3 linked regions of the Saccharomyces cerevisiae S288C genome follow. The gene in region 1 interacts genetically with each later gene. Each region holds a gene or a part of one and is shown in the gene's direction. Other genes may lie near its edges. The genes, in order: SPO75, PEX29 and NCE101.

What was found.
Region 2: mutations in SPO75 (region 1) and PEX29 together harm fitness more than expected from each alone (negative genetic interaction), as found in Saccharomyces cerevisiae (2 studies listed by BioGRID).
Region 3: mutations in SPO75 (region 1) and NCE101 together harm fitness more than expected from each alone (negative genetic interaction), as found in Saccharomyces cerevisiae (2 studies listed by BioGRID).

The regions. Positions count from the first base shown.
Region 1 is NC_001144.5:137,440-146,159, reverse strand, and holds SPO75 (Spo75p), read left to right. Parts: upstream 1-5,613; coding exon 5,614-8,220; downstream 8,221-8,720. Other genes in the region: SFI1 (Sfi1p), read right to left, coding at 119-2,959; ORC3 (origin recognition complex subunit 3), read right to left, coding at 3,237-5,087; ERMES complex subunit MMM1, read right to left, coding at 8,294-8,720. UniProt on the Saccharomyces cerevisiae protein: Acts as an osmosensitive calcium-permeable cation channel. Required for spore wall assembly and ascus formation.
Region 2 is NC_001136.10:1,414,710-1,422,137, reverse strand, and holds PEX29 (Pex29p), read left to right. Parts: upstream 1-5,263; coding exon 5,264-6,928; downstream 6,929-7,428. Other genes in the region: alpha-1,2-mannosyltransferase KRE2, read right to left, coding at 1-981; U2-type spliceosomal complex subunit CWC21, read left to right, coding at 1,300-1,707; alkaline phosphatase PHO8, read left to right, coding at 1,888-3,588; DIG2 (Dig2p), read right to left, coding at 3,768-4,739; SNM1 (Snm1p), read right to left, coding at 6,967-7,428. UniProt on the Saccharomyces cerevisiae protein: Involved in the regulation of peroxisome number, size and distribution.
Region 3 is NC_001142.9:47,165-53,661, reverse strand, and holds NCE101 (Nce101p), read left to right. Parts: upstream 1-3,218; coding exon 3,219-3,250; intron 3,251-3,393; coding exon 3,394-3,523; downstream 3,524-6,497. Other genes in the region: PRP21 (Prp21p), read right to left, coding at 1-321; RCY1 (Rcy1p), read left to right, coding at 511-3,033; YJL206C (uncharacterized protein), read left to right, coding at 3,727-6,003; AP-1 complex accessory protein LAA1, read left to right, coding at 6,229-6,497. UniProt on the Saccharomyces cerevisiae protein: Involved in a novel pathway of export of proteins that lack a cleavable signal sequence. May be part of the export machinery or may also be a substrate for non-classical export.

The DNA.
Region 1 (8,720 bases):
TAGTATGTTGTGATGTTTTCATAGACCTGGAGAATATTATTAGTAATTGTATGCATCTCAGAAGCAAGAAAGGTTACGACTACATATGCACACATACATACGTACATAATATATATATCTATTGACGTTTACGACTTAACGGGGATTTATCATGCTCTCTTATATAATCCATATCTTGATCGATTTTAGGAGAATTGGCGCTTAGGCTAAAAGGTACAGCGGGTATTCTGCCAAAATCAATATGGTCAACTTTGGATGGCATGTTTCTAGTGGTACGCCTAGGAGAATACCTTAGAGGTTTTCCTCGCGTCGGAGATCCGTTTAAGCCTGTCGTACTTTCAAGGTTGATCTGTTTTTTAGCTGTAGAATCAAGAACACTGGAAGATTTCACCGGACTTGGTATGGCTCTTCTTGCCCTGCTATAATGCGACTTCATCGCTTCCATTCTGTGCTGCTTTATTCTTTCTGAGCCTGGTATGGTTGAGGCGTTTTGAGAGTCTGATCTTATGGGAGTTTTTAGTTCATGTTTAAGATTGAAGTCCTTCCTTCTCTTTGGAGAACTGTCTGAACGATTTTTCCATAATAATAACAATCCCCTTACAGTGGCCCTGTCCCACCGATGACGAAACACCTCGACTGTCTCATCATTACGCTTAATTTTTAGGAATCGAAGACTCCACATTTTCAAGAATTTGGATGTAATTATGAATTGTTTATTAGCTTCCGATTGTTCCAATAATGTACTCATATAAAATATTTCGTCTAGATGAGTTTTCCAAATATAAAACGTCTTGACTAACACAAATTCTTCGCGAACTTCGTCTGCTAATTCTTCTGATTTTACTATCTCTAAAAGTCTTTCTCTAAATTTCTTCAGCACCATTTTTTCAAGCTGGTAGTTTCTCTTTGAAATAGCCTGAATGTTACATTCTTCTGTGTAGAAGCAAAATCTATTTCGCCAAGCGTTGAACAGTTGGCTTTGAAGTTCGCGCTCTTTACTCTTTTCATAAACGTGTAAAATATCGTTTAACTTATGCCTGACTTTGAACCTTGTGGCTTTCCGCCACTTTAAAAAGGCCTTAGAAAGCTTTACTCTATCCATAGAGGGCGCCAGTTTCGTATATAGCAAATGAACATTATCAATATGCATTAGCGTCCGTTTTACAGTCAAAATTGCATGTGTCTTACATAAGAAATTGTATCTATCCTCCAATTCCTTAGTTTTAATCAGGCGTTCTTTCCATATAGCTAGACACTCATTTACGAGACCCTCTTCGTAAAATTTGGATGCTTCGTCATTCATAGAATTCATTTGTAGCATCCTCCTTTTCCACACACCAAGATATTTTGCACAAAATGCCGTTTTAACATGTTCGCTCGATATTTTCCCATACTGTATTCTTTTCCTCCATGTACGATACGCGCTTGCTTGAATACTCTTTTTACATTTCTGCTCAAATATTTTTAACTTTACTTCAAGTTTCCAACTTCGCAATGATGACTTGAGCAAATTAGTCCTCGAATAATCGCTTGCTTTGAGGTCAATATATAGAAGTTTTTTCCATGAATGAAAAATACGCTTCACGAGGTTAGCCTCTTTTAGACTTACAATTGAATACAAATGCAGATGGTCTTCGAATCTTTTCAGCCACATCTTCTCAAAAACGCACCTCAAAAGTGTCTGATTTAGTTTACTCTTTGCAATTGCCTCTTGTTGACTATGTTGAAATGACCGGTTTAATTTGCGAAAAAACTTTTGTTTGATGAATTTATTCTCCAGTTCATAAAGTGCCCCAAGTTTATCTTCGTTTTCAATGTTTTTCTTTTCCCATTTATTCAGATATTTTCTTTGTAGAGAAAACGACCTCACTTTTTCTGCAATGCTCTTATTGTATTCATAGTTTATAACTTTCTGTTTTATTCTTTCGAAAATCCTTCTTTCCAACCCGTGGTAGTTTATTTCTTTATGTCTTAGCTTCCATATATGAAATGTTGTTCGTAAAAATATCTTCTTAATGTTGTCAGTGTTAACAGTTTCTAAGTGTTTCCAATGCTCTTGTGCCTTTAAAATTTTCCTAAACATCTTATTCAAAAAGGCCTGATCTGCTAACCTTGACTGCTCCTTAAGAGTTTGTGTTAAAGTTATCCATTGTTGGAACGAGCGAAATAGTAGCCAAGTATTCCTAAAACTTTCAGCTTCATCGTTGGCCATCTGTGAGTATTTTAATGTTTTATCACTCCAAATATAGAAGACGGCTTCCTGTACCCTCAGCTTTGCTTGATTTGCAAACCTGTTTGCCTCTTCATTCAATTCACATACAGTCTTCCAGTGATTAAAATGTCTTCTGATTTTGTTCTTAGCGTAGGTATATTCTGCAAGGGACAATGCAATGAATTTGTTGCGAGGGTGGATTAAAAATATTTCTAAAATCTCTTCTATAACAGAATTGAAAGTGAAAAAACCTTTCAGTTCATCTTCCAATATTGTGAAGTACTCATCGCGTAAAGGATTGATGCCTTCTTGAATAAGAATATTGACATAGTTTTTGAAAATTTGTAAAAAACTTCTGGATAGTTTGAAATGAACCAAAAAAGCTTCAATCTGGCGGTATAAATCTTCGATTACCTCAACGGATATATCATTCAAATCATATCGTAAACCATTCTTAGGAAGATCGGTAACGTCTTCATACTCCAGATTTGTCGAATCAACCGGTGGAGAAGGAAGATGGAACGGCGGGTCTTCGAAAAAGCCTTCAGTTTTATTTAATTCTATAGGCTTTAAAGCGTTAACAATATACCTTTCTGCGCCTCCATGAATTAGTGATTCGGTGGAATCCGTTATTTGCCCTTGCTTGATGAGTACATCAGTGGGAATATTAGTTGGAGATGTCTCGGGTACGAATTTATCACGCAGAAGATTCTCCGTTGATTTATTTGTCGTGCCGAATTTGCCCATAACCTAGCACATATAGGCAATAGATTGTGATTAATAGGCCACCTTTATTTTTTTGTTGCTGCCTTCTTGAGTTTCCCATTGCCAATCTTCGCGCATCATGGCACTATCTATTTATTTTACCTATACATAATATTACCCTCCATTCGATAATAATAATAATAATAGTTAACACAGAAAAATGATGAGATACAGGTAGACTGTTCATTACAAAAACGTGGTTCTATGGTTCTATATATGTATGGTTATTTATTTACTTATTTATCCGTGCATTCTTTATCTAAATTCCTCTCCAGACACATTTTTCTACCAGATCGTAACTCTTGGTGCTTTGAAACTTAATGAGACCCATGTTTTCAAAGGCGAAGATTGCTTGCATGAATAAAATTAGTGCTACTTTGTCAAATGCGTCCGGTGTTTCTGCTAGTTCTAAGAGTTTGGTGTTGGAGGGATCTTTTCTTATGAAATTTAATATTTCCTCTTTTGGTAATGTTTCTCTGAACGCAATGTAGAAATCGTAAATGTTGATAGTCATATTCGCCTCACGATAAAGCTTGAATAGCTGACCCAGTACCGGAGCCATTATTTTATCCAAATCTCCAGAAAGAGTATCATAATTTTCTTTATCAAGCGAAGGCAGCACCTGCTCCCAACTTAGTAAGTTATCTTCGATATTTGACTTGTAAGAAGGGAAAATCGACTGGGTAAGTAATCCACTTCTGTTGTCCAAAGTAAATAGCTCTTGAAAAATTGTATCAATGGGTTCAAAATGAAGCCGATCCTTATACTCTTTACATGCTGACCAACGATCTAGATAGGAGTCTAGTTTGCCAATAAGCAAATTATGATATAATTCTATCAGATTAAAATTGGTTATATTCAATTCTTCTTCGAGGAATCGAGCAACAAACTTAGCATGCCCGTTAATCGGGTTCTCTCTTACCAAAAACTCAACAAAAAACTCTTCTAGGCCTCTGTTTTTGTTTGTCAATAATGAAAGAATTTCGTCAGCAGGAGCATGCTGCTTTATAAGACCTTCGACAAAGAACATGAATGTAGGACATCTGCTCAGTATTTTTAAGTAGTCGTCGTTCAAAAAATCAACATTTACAGGGTCAATGAATACTGAAAAGGCATTCTGGAAAAAGTACGACATCAACGAATAATCCAGCATCTTCGTCAATAATTGTAAGTTGTGATTAGTATTATTTGCCATCTTGCTGAGAATGAATTCCACAAAACGATCTGAAAGATTTAGTTTGCCATCAACCGTATCCAAAAAGCTTTGAAAGATTTGGTTTCCGTACTTAAATCCTTTATTACTCGACACGTCTAGTTTATGATAATTTCTCTTCAGAAGTCGTATGGTTGATTGTCTCAAATTTTTCTCAATATTTGACAAGTTTGTATTAATATTAAAGATTAAACTTATTTTAACATGGTCATACTTGAAGGCACTTTTCAATAGAATTATGAAGTTATCCAATGTGTTGAAGTTAATAGAATCTACATCTTTAAAATTAAATACCATTGCTAAGTCTTTTCCAAAAAGCCTTTTGAAGTTTTCCACAAGTGACAGATCGTATGATACATCATTGTTTTGCTCGGTAAAATCGCCATCTTCATCGTTAATGTCTTCATACTTGATAGTTGGATGTTCTTCTGCATCAGCTGCGCTGTAAAGTTTGTACATAGACCTACGAAGCATCATTCTTACATTCGGAGATTCTTTCGGAGTCAATTCAATCAAAACGTTGTAGCGAGAAGATTCGTCTTTAAGTTCAATTTTTGTCGTACTATCTGAACCTAATAGGAAAATAGTGTTAAAGCATCGCCTTTTCTGAGTAGTTTCACTATATAAAAGGTCTGAAATCTCTGCTTTCAAGTCTGCTTCAATATTATCGATAATATGATCTACTTGATCATGAAAGTGGGAATGTAACTGATGATACAATTCCCATCTTTTTTCCACGTTCACTTCCGATTCTTTGCCTGATAGAAGTTTGACAAAGGGAATGTGTTTATCATTTTTGTTACTTTGAGGCAAACTGGGGTATACTGTATAGTGGCTCCTTTGGGCGTCAGCAAACTCGCTGACGTTCATCTTTTTGGATTGGTTAAGGTCGCTCATCCTGTTGGACTACTCTTGTGATACTACGACTCTGTATGTAAACAATGCCATCTTTTGTCACTTTTCTTTTTCTTCAAATTACGGTGCGGAAAAATACGTCAGTAAATATCAAAAAGACACTAAAAAAGGCGTTAGTGGTAATGGAAGGTAAAAAAAATTCTTACCATCTAACAGAATGCTTAGTTCCATTATCATCACGTGTAGCGTTTCTGCTGGTCTTACTAAATATAAAGATAATAAAACAGCAGGTAATGAAACATTACTCTTGTGAAATTGTCAAGCCTGTCTCGTAACGCAACCAACGACAACCCTTCATCTCCAGTATAGTTTCAAGTTTCTGGAAAAGATTGTCTTTTCCACCTTTTTTTATTTTTTTTTCCTATTAAAAAAAAAGCTATTCTACAAAAAATTCTTTATGACACAAATTATAGCGTGTTTAAAAATTAAACAAATGTGCAAAGTATATTCACAGTAGACAAACTTCAGGAACTCTTTTTCAAAAACAAGAAAAAGACTTACCAAGAAGATGAATGCTACTAAAGAACTGACTTTTAATTTACTGAATAAATTTCAAGACAAAGAAAGATTTGGATCTGCGCAAAGACATGCTGGAATCTCACTAAAAGGGTTCATATCTGGTATATTGTTTTCTTTTTTGTACTTTTTATTTCAGCTGTCACTCTTTATTATTTTAAGATCAAGATTCAAGACTATATATCAGGCCAATGTCGTTCTGAAAATCCATCCAGGTTCTAAAGTTTGTTTTGCTAAGAAAAAAATAAAAAATTATTGGTCATTATTTGCATTTCTCAAGCAACTTCCCGGAAGAATGTTAGATCCTATGGAAAAATTCGAACGAAACGAAAGGTATGGCCTAGACAATTATCTATTTTTACGGTTTCTCAAACTTTTGATATTCTTTTTTGCAGTGTTATCAATTATCAACATTCCAATACTAATTCCAATCCATTATTTTTCCAGGGATATTTTGAAAGAAAATGAAGGTGAACGTTATGAGCAAAGTTTCAGGACGACAAGTAAACTTGACAAGTGGACCATGTCAAATCTATCACCTAATTCATCGAATACTTTAATCTGTCACTTGTTTTTGAGTATCTTTGTTGTACTCTGGTTTCACTTCATTCTTTCTTCGGAACTGAGGTTCGTTAATCGACTAGGATATTCCGTTTTGACGAAAAGTAAATACCAAAACATTCTATATTTGGAAGGATTCTCAAGTAAATTGGTTACCCAAAGTATTTCTTTAGAAACTTTTTTTCAGCCGCTACACAGTGATTGCTTTGGCGTGACGCATTTCATTCCAAAAAATTTGAAGAAAGTCCACAAATTAGAAATAAAGTTAAATAAATTACAAAAATCAAAAGAACAAATTATCTTTGAGATTATTTTAGAGAAATATTTTAGAAGAGTTTCAATACACAGGCATTTGATAGCAAATCACAAAAGATTTTTCTTTTCAAAGTTGAAAAACCATCTATTATTTCAGTACAAAAAATTGGTATTTTTAACTCAATTTAGAATTTCATACTATTGCACAAAAATTCGTCTGCGCTGGAAAAAGTCAAGCATCTTTCCGTTATATTACCCTAAACTGTATGTAAATACAGAAACAATATTAGAAAGGAAATACAGAATCCTTGATAAAATAATACGCAAGGAAAAACTCATTAAATTCCAAGTAAATTCCTTGAAAGCAACTTCAGAAACCAAGCAGGCACTGCCCGACGATTTATCGTCGGGCACAGACATTTATATGGATAAGATGTTCATTACCTTCAAGTCCACATTATTGTCAAACGTTATAGGTGAGTTGCTTTCGTATAGACTACCCACCCAAAATTTAAAAGTAATAATAGGCCCCAATGTTAATGACATTATTTGGAGAAATATCCTCGATTCATCACCCCTTTGGAAAAGTGCCAAATATTTCTCGGCAAATATATTGCGAATTTTTGTGATTATAGGCTGGATTTTGCCTGTCGCGTTCCTTGGGTTAATATCACAAATACCAAATATTTCCTCACTAATACCGTTTACAAAAATAATTCATTTCCAATCTCCATTTATAAGAGAAGTGGCAAAGAATTTGATTCCAATAGTAACCTTAATAATAATAATAGAAATCGTACCCTACTTTTTCCGTTGGCTGAGTTACCTTCGAGGGTTGAAAACTGGAGCGCAAATAGAAGCTGATGTCCAGAATTGGTATTTCGTCTTTGTCTTCATTCATCTTTTCGTAGTTGTTACAATATCTTCTGGATTTTCTATAATTATTGAGAGGCTTCTTAACAATCCTGTCAGTATCCCTGCTCTCCTGGCCAACGACTTGCCTAAATGCGCAAACTTTTTCTGTTCTTTTGTTTTGATTAGGGGAATGGCTTATGCAGGCGGTAATTTGTTAAGAATAAAAGAGCTACTTTTTGAATTGTTCTACTATAAATGGAAAAGGAGTACTCCACATGCTCAATTTAAGAGGTTAAAGACATCTTTATTTTTCCAACTAGGATCTATTTATCCTATATTCTCAGTGTTGGGCTGTATTGGTATCATATACAGTGTTGTTGCTCCTATTATATTATTATTATGTTGCATCTCATTTTCGATGGTTTTCTTTTCTTTCAGTTACTTGTTCAAATACCAATATAACAAAGAGAACTATTCTGAAACGTTCGGTAAATTGTACATACAGGCCCTTATGCAATTGTACGCGGGCATTTATTTCATGGAATTTTGTTTACTCGGGCTGTTCACTCTTTTTGATCAATACACATTGTCAACTATAATGCTTGTTGTCTTTGCTCTAACAGTAATCACGCACTCCAAAATCTCCAAACAAATAAAATCGAAGCCTCAACGCATACCAACTTTGGAATACTTGTCGAATCTAACAGAGGAAAGGAAGGACCAATTCTGTCAAGAAAGTTATACTTTCCATGATATTTTCTCCATTTGTAGAAATTCGGATGAAATTTGGCTACCAAGGGACAAACTAGGAATTTCTGAAGAAGAACAATCATTTTTGGAGAAGTCGTATCACCTGAAATTCGATCTTAATATGTATTCAATGAATTTATTTGGTGATTGTCACTTGGAGAATAGCCACTTGCACTAACCAAAACTGGAACACCAAAAATGAGGCAGAGAAGATAGGAAAAAGATAGAACAAAAAATTTGTACATAAATATTTATAACTCTGTAGGCTTTTCTTCTCTCGTATTTTTACTACGTGGCCACATACTTGGTAACCTGACAAATTGGAATCTTGGTTCAACGCATCGTTCAACGAACCATTTTTTTATTTGGTATTCAATGACACTGCCGATCTTGGGAATATTTTCAAGTTTAGACCGTGAGCCAATTAGCGACTTGATTTCAAATTCCATTCTATATTCAGGAGAAAAAGAAAACATCAAAAAGTATCCTGAATTGCCCTCCATACCGTTTTCACTACTGCTACCGTTCGAAGTAGAAGCAAACTCCTCTGCATTAGTTAAAGATACGGTCAAACACGCCTGAAACCTCACAATTGACACTACTAGATTTATGGGGAGTGCGGCAATACCAGGCTTTGGATAGTTAAGTAATAGTTTTGTTTCTACTCCTAAAGTTAAG
Region 2 (7,428 bases), on another chromosome or scaffold:
GTTTGACCAGAAATGGCACAGATTGTATGTTTTACCATTATCGTTCGAAAGAAAACTCATCAGGTTGTTTTCATCTAAGTATTCGGGGTTCTTTTTGATGAAATCCATGGACGTTTGCCATAGTGTTGGGATCGTCACTTCATATTCATGAATAGAAACGGTAAAGCCGTAAACTTTTTCGTTTTCTTGCATCCACTTAAAAACGTCGTAATTAATATCACAGTATAACTTGATGTCTGGTTCCACACGCCAGTACCAATCGTACTCTTCTAATAATTCATGTCTCCAGAAAAACCCAGATTGGTAACGACACATGTGTCTATAAGATTCGGAGCCACCGTATATGTATTTGGTGGCAGCATCTGCACGAATTTCAGCAGCCTTGGTTTGATTAATCCATTCAGGATATGACCAATGTTCCTTGGGCAAAATACCAAACTTAACTTCGGAAGAAACAGCTTTGGTGACTGCTTCCTTGAATTCTTCAGTAAAAGGTTCATCGTTTAGGAAAACCCAAGGATATGGGAATTTCTTGTTAATTTTGTTTTCCACATATTTAATGGAGCTTAGCAAACCTTTCAACTCCTTGTTTCTCACCAAAGTGACGTAACAAGCTTTTGGCTTACCAGCTTTGTTAGCAAAAGATGGAGTGATATAATCCATGGTTGTTTTAGTGTCGATCGGGGCATCTGCCTTTTCAGCGGCAGCTTTCAGAGCCTTGGATTCTTCATCCATGGCTTCGGAGTCTTCGCTTGCCTCTGAATTCAGAGCACTTTGCTCTAATTTTTTAGCATCATTTTCCTCAGAGATGACTTGTTGTTCAGGGGATATAGATCCTGAGGTAAAATCAAATGCAGCGGAGATGGAACTCGGAATATATTGCTGAGTTCTACTGTTGGAATTCAATGTTAGGAGGAGAACAATAACCGCACCTGCAATGACGGTAAATCTCAACAGTCTCTTACTGAGAAAGAGGGCCATGCTTTCGAGTGGAACTGCTTGCGAATATGGATATCACTTCCAGTATTATAGATTCATAAAATGTATAAACGAATTAAATCGCAAATTATCTCCTTTTCAGACTGTTTCTTCACCAAATTTCTTTTTTTTTTCCTACTAGAAGAAGGCGTAGCAGATAAGAAGGAAAAATTATATTAAGCGTGCGGGTAAAGGCAAGGAAGAATCAAGTAAGACCTCAAGAATGGCACTATAAGTGTGGTATTATAATCTGTGTAATCCTAATTTGAGCTCTACACAATACCATTCGACGGTTAACAGCTACTGCATCACCGTCCAGTCATGTCGTACAACGGAATAGGGCTCAAGTCGGCAAAAGGGTCATCTACGTCGGGCCACGTGCAGCGATCACTTGCTAGCAACAATAGGCGCAGACCACAGGGTAGTCAACAGCAGCGGCAACAACGACAAAATGCGATCAAAAAGGCCAGCCATGACAAGGCAAGCAGGCCTCTTGCTGTGCAGAAACAGATAGAGACTCATATGGAGAAACGTGAGATTGAAGTACAAGTTAGCGAGCTACGGGACCGACTGGAGGAGGAAGAAACGCTCTCGGAAGAGCAGATTGACAAGAAATGTGAAGCGTTGAGGGCAAAACTGACGAACGAGTGGCAAGAACAGCAGCGGATGTCCTCTTTGTACACCCCTCGTAAGGCGCGTCTAACGGAAGAGCAGCATCGACATGAATAGCAGCATTGACGATAGCGATAAGCTTCGCGCGTAGAGGAAAAGTAAAGGGATTTTAGTATATAAAGAAAGAAGTGTATCTAAACGTTTATATTTTTTCGTGCTCCACATTTTGCCAGCAAGTGGCTACATAAACATTTACATATCAGCATACGGGACATTATTTGAACGCGCATTAGCAGCATGATGACTCACACATTACCAAGCGAACAGACACGTCTTGTTCCTGGATCTGACTCGAGCTCTCGTCCTAAAAAGAGACGGATCTCGAAGAGATCAAAGATAATAGTATCCACTGTGGTCTGTATTGGTTTGTTGCTGGTTTTAGTGCAACTGGCATTTCCAAGCAGTTTTGCATTACGTTCTGCATCACACAAGAAGAAGAATGTCATATTCTTCGTGACGGATGGGATGGGACCTGCGTCTTTGTCCATGGCAAGATCATTCAACCAGCATGTTAATGATTTACCTATAGACGACATCCTGACACTTGACGAGCATTTTATCGGGTCTTCGAGAACAAGGTCCTCGGACTCACTAGTCACTGACTCAGCTGCGGGCGCCACCGCATTTGCATGTGCATTAAAGAGCTATAATGGGGCCATCGGTGTTGATCCGCATCACAGACCTTGTGGTACAGTGCTCGAGGCGGCTAAGTTAGCAGGTTATCTCACTGGGCTTGTTGTTACGACAAGAATCACAGATGCCACTCCGGCTTCATTCAGTTCACATGTTGATTACAGATGGCAGGAAGATCTTATCGCTACGCACCAGTTAGGCGAATATCCTCTGGGGAGAGTAGTAGACTTACTCATGGGTGGCGGCAGGAGCCATTTCTACCCTCAAGGCGAAAAGGCTTCTCCATATGGTCACCACGGTGCTAGAAAAGATGGAAGAGATTTAATCGATGAGGCTCAATCTAATGGCTGGCAGTACGTGGGTGACCGTAAAAATTTTGATTCTTTGTTGAAAAGCCACGGTGAAAACGTTACTTTACCTTTCTTGGGTCTCTTTGCAGATAACGACATTCCTTTTGAAATTGACAGAGATGAAAAGGAGTATCCTTCCCTTAAGGAACAAGTCAAGGTGGCTTTGGGTGCCTTGGAAAAAGCTTCCAATGAGGACAAAGATTCTAATGGGTTTTTCTTAATGGTGGAAGGCTCCAGAATTGATCATGCTGGTCACCAAAACGATCCAGCTTCGCAGGTAAGGGAGGTGTTGGCTTTCGATGAAGCATTCCAATACGTTTTGGAGTTTGCTGAAAATTCCGATACGGAGACTGTTTTGGTCTCTACGTCGGATCATGAAACGGGTGGTTTAGTCACTTCAAGACAAGTCACTGCTAGCTATCCTCAGTATGTCTGGTATCCACAGGTGCTCGCCAACGCCACCCATTCAGGTGAGTTTTTGAAAAGAAAACTAGTAGATTTTGTTCATGAGCATAAGGGCGCAAGCAGCAAAATAGAAAATTTCATCAAACATGAGATCCTGGAAAAAGATTTGGGTATTTACGATTACACGGATAGCGATTTAGAAACATTAATTCATTTGGATGACAACGCAAATGCTATCCAAGACAAACTGAATGACATGGTATCATTTAGGGCCCAAATTGGCTGGACCACGCATGGTCACAGCGCAGTCGACGTCAACATATATGCATACGCCAATAAGAAAGCTACATGGTCATATGTCTTGAACAATTTACAAGGCAATCACGAAAATACGGAAGTTGGCCAGTTCTTAGAAAACTTTTTAGAATTGAACCTGAACGAAGTCACTGATTTGATTAGGGACACCAAACACACATCAGATTTTGATGCTACAGAAATAGCTAGTGAAGTACAACATTATGACGAATACTACCATGAGTTGACCAACTGATCCTATCTAACTCTCCCTCTTTTTTCACATATTATTTAATACGTTATAATTTATTTGAATATATATATATATATATATATGTATATATACTAACCGCATGACACGTACTGTATCGCATTTCGTTTCGGAGTGCAGGCGAGTTTTAGGTGCATTCTATAGCGTGAAGAAGTGAAATCTCGTCATTTCTTCAAGTTATGCCATTCAGTCCAGATTGTTTCACATGCTTTCATATAGTCATTTTTGTCGTCGCGAACTTCAAATTTGAAAACATCATCATACAGAGAGATTTCTCCAATAATGATCCTTTCTTTGTCGTTGTCATCATCGGCATCGTCGTTAAGTGAAGCGCCCTCACTTAATGAATTTTTCGTGACAGAGCATTCAATGTCTTCATCAGTCTTACTTATGATTGGGTCTCCGTTGTGGTGTTTGGAGACAAAGGTTCTTTTTCTCGATGTCAAATCTTCCAAGTGTGGTGATCTACCAGCCAACTTCTTCCTCTTTGCATGGTAGTCGGCTGGTATTATACCATTATTATACAAGGGGCCGGGATACATCGGGGAATAATAGCCTTCGTATGCGTGCGTTTGTGTTGGAGTTGAAGAATATGGGTAGCATGGTACTGGTGGCAGTCCAGTATATGGATAAGGGTAGGTTGCTGTCATATATGAATTGGCCACTGAAGGATGATAATCTTGATTCGTAGGAGCCATCCTACCCATATATCTGACCCTAAGGCTATTTTTGTGCTGCGGAAATCTTGTTATGTTTGGTGGAGCACTTTTAGATCCATGCAAATGAGAAGATGCTTGTATATCGGAAAAATTTAGCGCTGGAGGTACCCTTTTCCTCTTTAAAGAATGATTCAGCGACTTAAAGGGTACGGTTTTCTCTGCTGGAGAAGTCGTAATGGTAGGAGGCTTACCACTATGATCTTCCTCTTTTTGCGACAGCCTAGATATGAGCAATTTTTGATTTTTTTCGATATCCCTGGATTTTTTGATCTTCGAAATCATTTTCTCACTCAATCTGTCTTCATCAAGCCCTGGAGATACTAACAGCATTCCCAGTTGCTGCAAATTCCTGGGATCATTTTCCTGAACAGTTGATATTTGCTCTTGCTGTGGGTCTTCTTGCTCTTCTTTATTCATAATTTTCCCTCTTTGCTTAAATATTCCTGCAGGCTTAACTATACCACATAAATACCACTGCAAGCAATAGAAATGAAAAATAACATTAATAACCAAAATTTAAATGGCTGTATGTTTATTGTTTATTTGATCTGCACATTATGTAATTATTGATAATTTAATAGACGTGTCCGCCGGGTGATGAAGCTGTGACATATCACAATTTTATGTGTACCTGTTGTATGTATACGCTCTAATGTCCGATATCATCATACGTGCATCACTTTGTAGCCTTCTAGGATGGCGTCTAGGTGAATACCGCCGTAGTGTTTAGGAAACTAATGTTATGGGTGGTTGTTGTTTCACTATCCAGTAATACTTTTGTGGTGAACTTAAGAAGCTTAGGGGTTACCCCTTCTTCTTGAACTAATTTTAAGAAATAACAACGAGGAATAGTGTGTATTTTTAATTACTGATCAGGCCGCATGAATATACTCACCTGTATACGTAGCAAAATTTCAGTCTCCTACTGTATATACGTCTAGATGGACTCGGTGACAAATTTTTTCTGGAATGACACCTATAATGCTGGTACTCCAACTAGATCAACTCTCAAGGGGAAGAAAGTGCAAAATGGCATAGATGGAAAAAGTCAGGCAAAGAAAGAGAGCATATCTAGTGGTTCTAGAACTAGTGATCCTACACGTGGTAGTCTGCCATCTTCCAGTGGACAGCCAACTAGTGGTGGCGGTTTTCCCTCGACATCAAACATCCAAAAGATGATGGCAGATACCCTGGTAGAGAAGATAATCAAAATGGCATTACCACCATCTTCCAAAACGGCTGTTGATACAATTCACCATCGTATGGTTGCTGGTAAAGAAAGGCCTAAGCTGTCTGTGCAGATCACGAGTAGGAATTTTATACAGATGAACTCGAGACTAGGGGTACCATTCATGATTATGGATGAATTAATAAAGATATTAAACTGGACTAACCCAGCGTATACAGTATCTATCATGTTCTTATACACGCTCATTATATTGAAACCTTTTCAAATGCTTTCTTCGCTCCCTATATTCTATTTGTTATTCTGCGTAATGGTCCCGCAATACCTTTACATTCATAAGCCAAACCCTACAAGCTATCTAGATAATAATCAAACACCAGCACAAGGCCCACCTTTGCGAAGACCTGAGGTTCCTAAACCAGTCCCTGAACTGAGCCAAGAATTTGTCTTAAACCTCACGGATTTACAAAACCATATGCTGCTATATGTTAAATTCTACGATTTTACTTTACTCATATTACAAAAGTTTGCATTCTTCACCAACGAGGCTATTTCGTCGTTTTATTTTATTGTATTGTTAATAATAGCAACATTAAATTTTCTGTACATGGATAAATTTATCAAGCTCATTCCAATGAGACCCGTACTGATACTGCTAGGTTGGGGTTTTTTTATTGCCTCGCATCCGTCCAATCGTGAATATTTGTTGACTAAATTGAATTCGGAGGAGACAAGATTAAAAACTTTGACTATAAGTACTAATCTGGAATCTAAGATTTTGCAGCATTTGAAACTCATTGAGGCTAGGGAGCACCGACTTGTTATGATCTTTGAGATCCAAAAGTATCTTCCTGAATACAAAGAATGGCGCCCAGTTGGATTCTCTGATGACGATTATTCTCTTTTCTCTAGTTTGAGAATATACCAGAGGCGTATTGAGGAAAATTCAGTGAAGTCATTAGAAGAAATTGAGCCACCTAAGGATTGGGAATGGGAAGCCAATTCTCATTGGGTGCTTGATTTGGATCCAAAAGAATGGGTAGAGGACGAATTTATTCAGTATGTCGAGATAGATTCAGAAACAAAATGGGTCTATGACCTCAATCTTGATGGACAAAGGGGCTCATATAGAAGGCGAATGTGGACCAACAGTTGCGTGCGGAAAAAACTGGATTCTGGTATTTCTTCAAACCTTGGTGAGGAGGAAGTAGTTAATCCATTGAGGGAAGAAACATATAGGCAAGGCGTACATGGCGTGACGAAGGGTTCAATGAGTGGCGGTCTAACTCACAGTAGTGATGATGACCGCGCTGATGAGGAAAGTATAAACGGTACTATTCCTAATCTCAACAATATCGACGCGGATGCATCTTATCCGTCAATCGAAGAGCTAACAGACACTCTCAATTCAACTATATAAACTTGATTTGTTATACTATATGTTCACTGATGATACAGTCAACTTTTCATAAAACTTTCTAATGACAGTGACGAACTTTTCTTCTTTTCCATTTTTTTCTCTTGATTTCTTTTCGATAAAAGGTTTGTAAGTGAGTTCAACTTTCTCTTCTTGGATCTCTCCTTACCAGTACTAGTTTTACTCTTTTGGGGCTTCTTTACCGCGTACGAAACCTTCCCGCTGCTGGTACTATTGATCATCGGACTAACATCTTGTCCAAATGTTGGAACAACGAACTCAGATTTCCACTCAAACAATTTAGACTTTTCACAATTCAAGCAATTAACCTGGATACATTTTTTTGGTCCTTCCATACTCTCGCCGCCAAGTTCGTCGGAGTCACCTTGCTCGGTATTAGTCGTTAACTGAAGACTTGCGTTAAAATTAGGAACGTAAACACACCCGCAATGGGAGCAAAATTTCCCACTTTTCAGTTGTTCTGGCAGCATGATTTGATATCG
Region 3 (6,497 bases), on another chromosome or scaffold:
TTTATCCTTTGCATAGTAGCGTGCTGTCAATTTGATTACTTCCATGTCTCTTCGGGATATTCCAGTATCATATTGAGAGAACAGAAAATCCGGCGGCCTTGCTATCTCTCGCTCACTCTTTCTGTCATTATCTTCACCGCTGACAGTGTCTGTTGGCTCATTCATGAGTTTGGTGTAGTATTCATGGAGTGGGTCATCTTTCTTGATGAATGAGAATCTCTCATCTTCTAGCAGTTTGTTCTCAAACTCAACACCATGCTGCTTTATGTAATTTACTGTGGTTTTAATGTCCTCTTTCAGCTGGGTATCTTCTGGTTCCATTTATACAACTGCAAATTATTGCTGTTAGTTTTACGCTTTACCTTATTTCTTCCTGTATTTAAGTGTTTCAAGGCTAACTTTTGCCGAAATATTTCGTTGAAGGAAGGTTCTTATTTTATCAAAAAATGGTCAACAGACAAACAATAGAAAAACCAAAAGAAAACAAAAGCTTTTGAGGAAATCGGTAAAATGGATGATCTGCTAAAAGTTCCCGAGATTGTAACCAATATTGCCTCATATTTATCTACTGTAGATTATCTGAGTTTTCAACAAGTGAATAAACGGGTTTATGCAATCATTAACGGCAAAAATGATTCAAAGTATTGGTCATTGAAATTGACTAGAATGGGTCTCCAACAGGTGCATTCAAATGAAGAAGAAGAAATTACGTTGCTGGATGAAAATGATAATCAAAATTCCCTTCGCATCTTCGAAATATACAAATCTTTCACTGCTCAAAATTCTAAAAAAATCTTTGTGAAATTTTACCGTTGTTATAACTCATACGCTAGGAAGCTATATAATAATAATCTAGCAAATTTCTTTCCTACTTCATATTCCAACGATCCGTTGAAACAAACAAGAATTCTAAATTTTATCAAAAAGTACAATTTCTCGAATAAAAATGATATAGAAACATTTACTAGGATTGAAACTAATTTCAACATTCTTAGGGAAATCTTCATTAATTCTGTTCTCAAAGAGTCAGAATTGAATTACCAGTCTAATAATTTAGCTGCCGTCGCTCGTTTCATGAAAATTTTATTGATATCTAATGAGGAAAGCAATGCTATCGAATTTTTCAAGTCAAAGGCTGATTTGCCTCCCAGTTTAACGGTTTTGCCGTCTAATGATGAATTATTTTGGGCCGAACAACCAAGGGAAGAGGACAGCGGTGGGAGTACCGTGATATTTAATTCTAAAAATTTAGATACGTTTCTCAATCAGCTAAGGGATTTCCTCAACGAAAAGATTAAATTAGCGGACATTTTATTCAAAGATGAGTTCCCTGTAATATTACAGTTCATCGAGTCCTTTATCCAAGATATTTTATTAGATATTTTAAACAATATCTTATTAAGCTATAGTGAATTTTTAAAAGAAAATGGAAAGGATAGTAAAGCCAATTATGAATGCGTACCCGAACTTTATTTCACATTTATAAAAAAGTTTGATACTGAATTAAACGACTCAGTAAACGCAGGCGCAAATTTCCGTAAAGTTGTTCGTGACCTTTTAAACCTGTATCTCGAGCCCTTTGTTGTCAACTATATGAATCAGACAACTAGAGTATTTGAATCATTGATCAACTCACAATTAGCTAATTATGACACACAAGTTCAAGACAAGCAGCGTGAGCAAAACGCAAAAATTTATAACACTTTAAAAGATCAAACGGATGCTTCGAGTGCAAGTAACAATGAATTGCCGAATGACCTCTCAATAATTACTGAAACCTCCAAAACTGTCCCAGAAGCGGATTCAAAACCAAGTACGATCCATCAATCAGTTCATTCAACTGATATTTCTAATGATAAACTAGACTTTCTAAGTTCCTTCACCAAGATTTTCAAGTTCTCGAACAATGAAAATCAAAGGCTAAAGCAACAACTACAACTAGCCTACAACTTAAATTTAATTTCCAATAACTTGCAAAACATTAAATCGTTAATAAGTCTCGATTTATGTTACAAAATTTTACAGGAAACAAGCGAAAAGACGGATCAAATTTACAAATTTCATACGATTGAAAGTTTGCTACCATTGATCAAGCTACGCTGTCAAGAGATTTTCAAAATTTTAATTACACAATTGAATAAAAATCACGTTAAACCTGCATTTGAAAAGGCAATCCTGCTACTACAAAAATATAATCCTAACGAAATAGAACAAATAGAAATAAAATTCAATTCACTTTCGCCAGCCAATACTCAAGTCGAACCTTTAGTACAATTCACTGAACTTATCAATATAGGTGACATAATATTACAAATGATTTCCATTTTTTACAAGAACGAATTGATTCCCAAAAAAATTATCGATAAAAATAAAGATTTTCTTAATGATGTTATCCAATTAAAAAAAAATTTTGAGACTTCTATCGATGATTTTGTAGCCGAAGGTTTAAATATCGGTATAAACAAACTAATGGATGAAATCTCATTTGTATTCAAGACTCTTCAATTGCCTGACGATTATAATCCACCGCCACCCTCTAGGAATTCTCCAATAAGGGATATAAAGCCAACCAAATGTGCTATCAGGGTAGTCGAGTTACTTTCTAATCATTGCTTTCTACTGACTGGTGCCACAGACAAGGGTACTATTGACGTGTACCAACAAGAAATTGGCGAGAGATTCTTTAATGAAATCGTCAAACATCTGAAGAAGTGCTTCATATCTACGGAGGGCGCAATTTGGTTAATCTGCGATTTAAATTACTTTTACGATTTTATTGCTAACAAATTAAAACAAAAAAATGTTGTTCCCTATTTTGTTGGGCTTAAGTCTATTGGCCAGTTATACATCATTTCAGGCAAGGACTCGAAAGAGTTGGGAAAGCTTATTTCTGATCTTGGGAAATTCAATGGCATTTTTACGCAAGAGGAAATTTATGAATTTGTTCAGAGGAGAAGCGATTGGGTTCGTGTACGGAAAGACGTTGAAAAGGTAATGTACGGCCTAGGCATACGAGATTGCTGCATTATGTAAATTCCTATCAATGATTAATTATATTACTCTATATAGGTATGAAGTGCGGAAATAAAAGACTGTTCACATATTAGATTATTCAAGATTACGCGGGCTCTATTTTTCCCTGTTAGCCACACGCACACAAGGGGCATACAAATGTTCACTCCATTTATAAGAGGATTCCACACAAGATCATCGATAACATGGTTCAGTACGCTCCCTTTCTATTAGGAAAGTATGTTCATTCTTCATACGCTATTCTATTTTTTTTTTTTTCACACTTATTCTTTTACTAACGCATAGTTAACCATTTGCTGTTTCGAAGAGGCAACATCAAACAAGTCGATGTGCTCTTTCCCAAGCTGGTCTCTATTGCAGATTTTCTGATCCGTTATTGGCAATTATGGTAGGCTGTCTCAGCTACTATGTGTACGAAAGGAAAATGGGGCGTCCACAAGGTCATCATTTACACGAGCTCATAAAGAAGCGATGGGACGATCGCAAATAATAATCCGGCGTGAGGGGAGTATATATAAGTTTCTGGCGATATGTAAATACCATAATAATTAATCCTAGGATCTACCTTTATACGCATTTATCCTATAAAAACCCAATCTTTCAGATCCACAGTATTTTTATATGTGTGATTTCCTTGATTGTCTCAATTTAAAGAGTAATACATACAACTTAGACCAAAGAATTATTCAATAGATGACGCCGAAAGAATCTGGAAAGCCTATTTCGTGTGCAATGAAGAAGTTGAAAGGCAAGAGATCTAAGATTTTGGTTTTATCTAGAGATGCGGGCACCAACGAATTGAAGCCAACGAAAGGAAGAGCACATCGAGCTTGCATAGCTTGCAGAAAGAGGAAAGTACGATGTAGTGGTAATATACCATGTAGACTTTGCCAGACTAATAGTTACGAATGCAAATATGATCGCCCCCCACGGAACTCATCGGTATTTGATAGGGAAGTAAGCGATGATAGTTCCTTATATGCACAGAGAGCTTCCCACGAACGGGAAGATAGCAAGGGCCCTATAAGTTCCATTGATTACAAAAAGGTTGTAGAGACGATCTTTCCACCTGAAACACTCCGTCAAATACTTGCTTCTTCTTCTTTTAACAGCCAGAATTTTTTGGACACTATTAAAACGTGTCTACTTCAAGGACAATTAAATGTTAATCAGGTAATACGTCAAAGTCTACCAAAAGATACGCCTTGGCACATGCAAACAAGTGTTCCATTACCACCCAGAGAGATTGCCTTGAAATTTATTCAAAAGACCTGGGATTGTGCCTGTGTGCTATTTAGGTTCTATCACAGACCTACTATCATTTCTATCTTGGACTCGATATACGAAGCAGAAAAACATGGCAAGCAATATACTCCAGAACAAGTGAAAACACAACCTTTAATTTATTCTGTTTTAGCAGTCGGAGCCCTTTTTTCTAAGGAAGATCTCAGCAAGGATAGTAAAGCAACTAGGGAATTTTACACTGATGAAGGCTACAGATACTTTTTAGAGGCCAAAAACTCTTTGGACTTTTCTAATATTACTGACATCTATTCCATTCAAGCTATATTTATGATGACGATCTTTTTGCAATGTTCAGCAAACTTGAAGGCTTGCTATTCGTTCATTGGTATCGCTCTGCGTGCTGCGTTAAAGGAAGGTTTACACAGGCGGTCTTCCATAGTTGGTCCTACTCCGATTCAGGATGAGACAAAAAAAAGGCTCTTTTGGTCTGTGTACAAACTAGATCTGTACATGAATTGTATTCTTGGTTTTCCAAGCGGTATCGACGAATCTGATATCGACCAAGAGTTTCCTCTAGACGTCGACGATGAAAATATATCTACTATTGGAATAAAGTTTCAAGATTGGCGAACGATAAGTTCCTGTGGAATGAATAATAAGCATACAAAGCTTATTTTAATCATGTCTCGGATCTACAAGCTAATGTACTCTTTGAGAAGAAAACCATTAGAAGAGGATTCTAGGACGCAGATTGTATCGTTGAACGATCAATTAGATAATTGGTATGCCCAATTACCAGATATTTTGAAGGTTGACACAATACGGTATCGTCAAACGCAACCACCTCTAACTGTTTCCGCAAATGATACTAGTTCTCCATACACTAAACCTAAGAAATTATTATATCTGGACTTCCTTCTATCCAAAATCGTACTCTATAAACCATTCTACCACTATATTTCTATAGACCCGTTAGATATCCCAGAGTTCCAATTTCAAATTCACATGGCGGAAAACTGTATTGAAGTTGCCAAAAAAGTTATTCAATTATCTTATGAAATGATTACGCAAAACCTTTTGAGTGGTAGCTACTGGTTTTCCATTCATACAATCTTTTTTAGTGTTGCTTGCCTCAAATTTTATGTCTACCAAACAGAAAAGGGCCTGATACGAAATGGGAAGGTTGATTCGGATATTCATAACGCTACGCAGCTTGGCAGTGAAATATTATCACTTTTGAAGGGTGCTTCAAATGCGAGTAAACGTACTTTTGAAGTATTGAACCAATTGTTCAAAGAGTTTAACGAGAAGACCTCTGTATTATCTGAACAACTTTTGAATATAGTTAAATTGCAACGGCAAGAAAGTAGTGGAGCTTTAGTGCCCCAGTTGCAGACAAATAATAATTTTACGAAGTGCCAAGGAGAATTACATCATGGACAGCAGCATCACCAAACTCCAGCCACGAGTCTTCGTTCCATTCTGAATCTTCCACAAGGGGAAGCTGATCTAAAGTTTCAGAATACCAATAATGAGAGCCATACAACGACAGCTGCACAAGAAGAATACTTAGATAAACTTCTAGCAGAATTTGAGGAATTTGACTACTCAATTAACAGAGTATTACCTGATGTCATCGATTTTTCAGCACTAATTGGCCAAGATTCTTCTGCCAACAATCAAATATTTTCCTCAGAATTCAGCTCTGACCCAACAGTAAATTGAACCTTTAAACTCGCGACTTCTTTATATCTGTATATTCTTCTACATCCTTCTTTTTATGTATTATTATTTTATCTGCTTCCTCACACCACATAGTGGCATACCGTGTGTGGCCGTTTTTTTTTTCATCGCCATATTGAAACAGTGATTTGTTATTATTCAATTGAAATAATAGTTATTAGGTTTAAAAAAAACTAAAAGATAAAATAAATAGCCCAGGCCACGAAAATGGCAAACCGATCCCTCAAGAAAGTGATAGAAACATCATCAAACAATGGTCACGATTTATTAACTTGGATAACCACCAATTTGGAAAAGCTTATATGTTTGAAAGAAGTTAATGATAATGAAATACAGGAGGTTAAGGAAATACACACTCAACTGGATGAGTTTGTGAGGTATATCTCCGTACTAGAAAATACGGATGATTTAGAACTGCATTCAGTGTTTATCAGTTTGTCTCAGCTCTATACGATTTCCATATGGCGTTTGAAGGA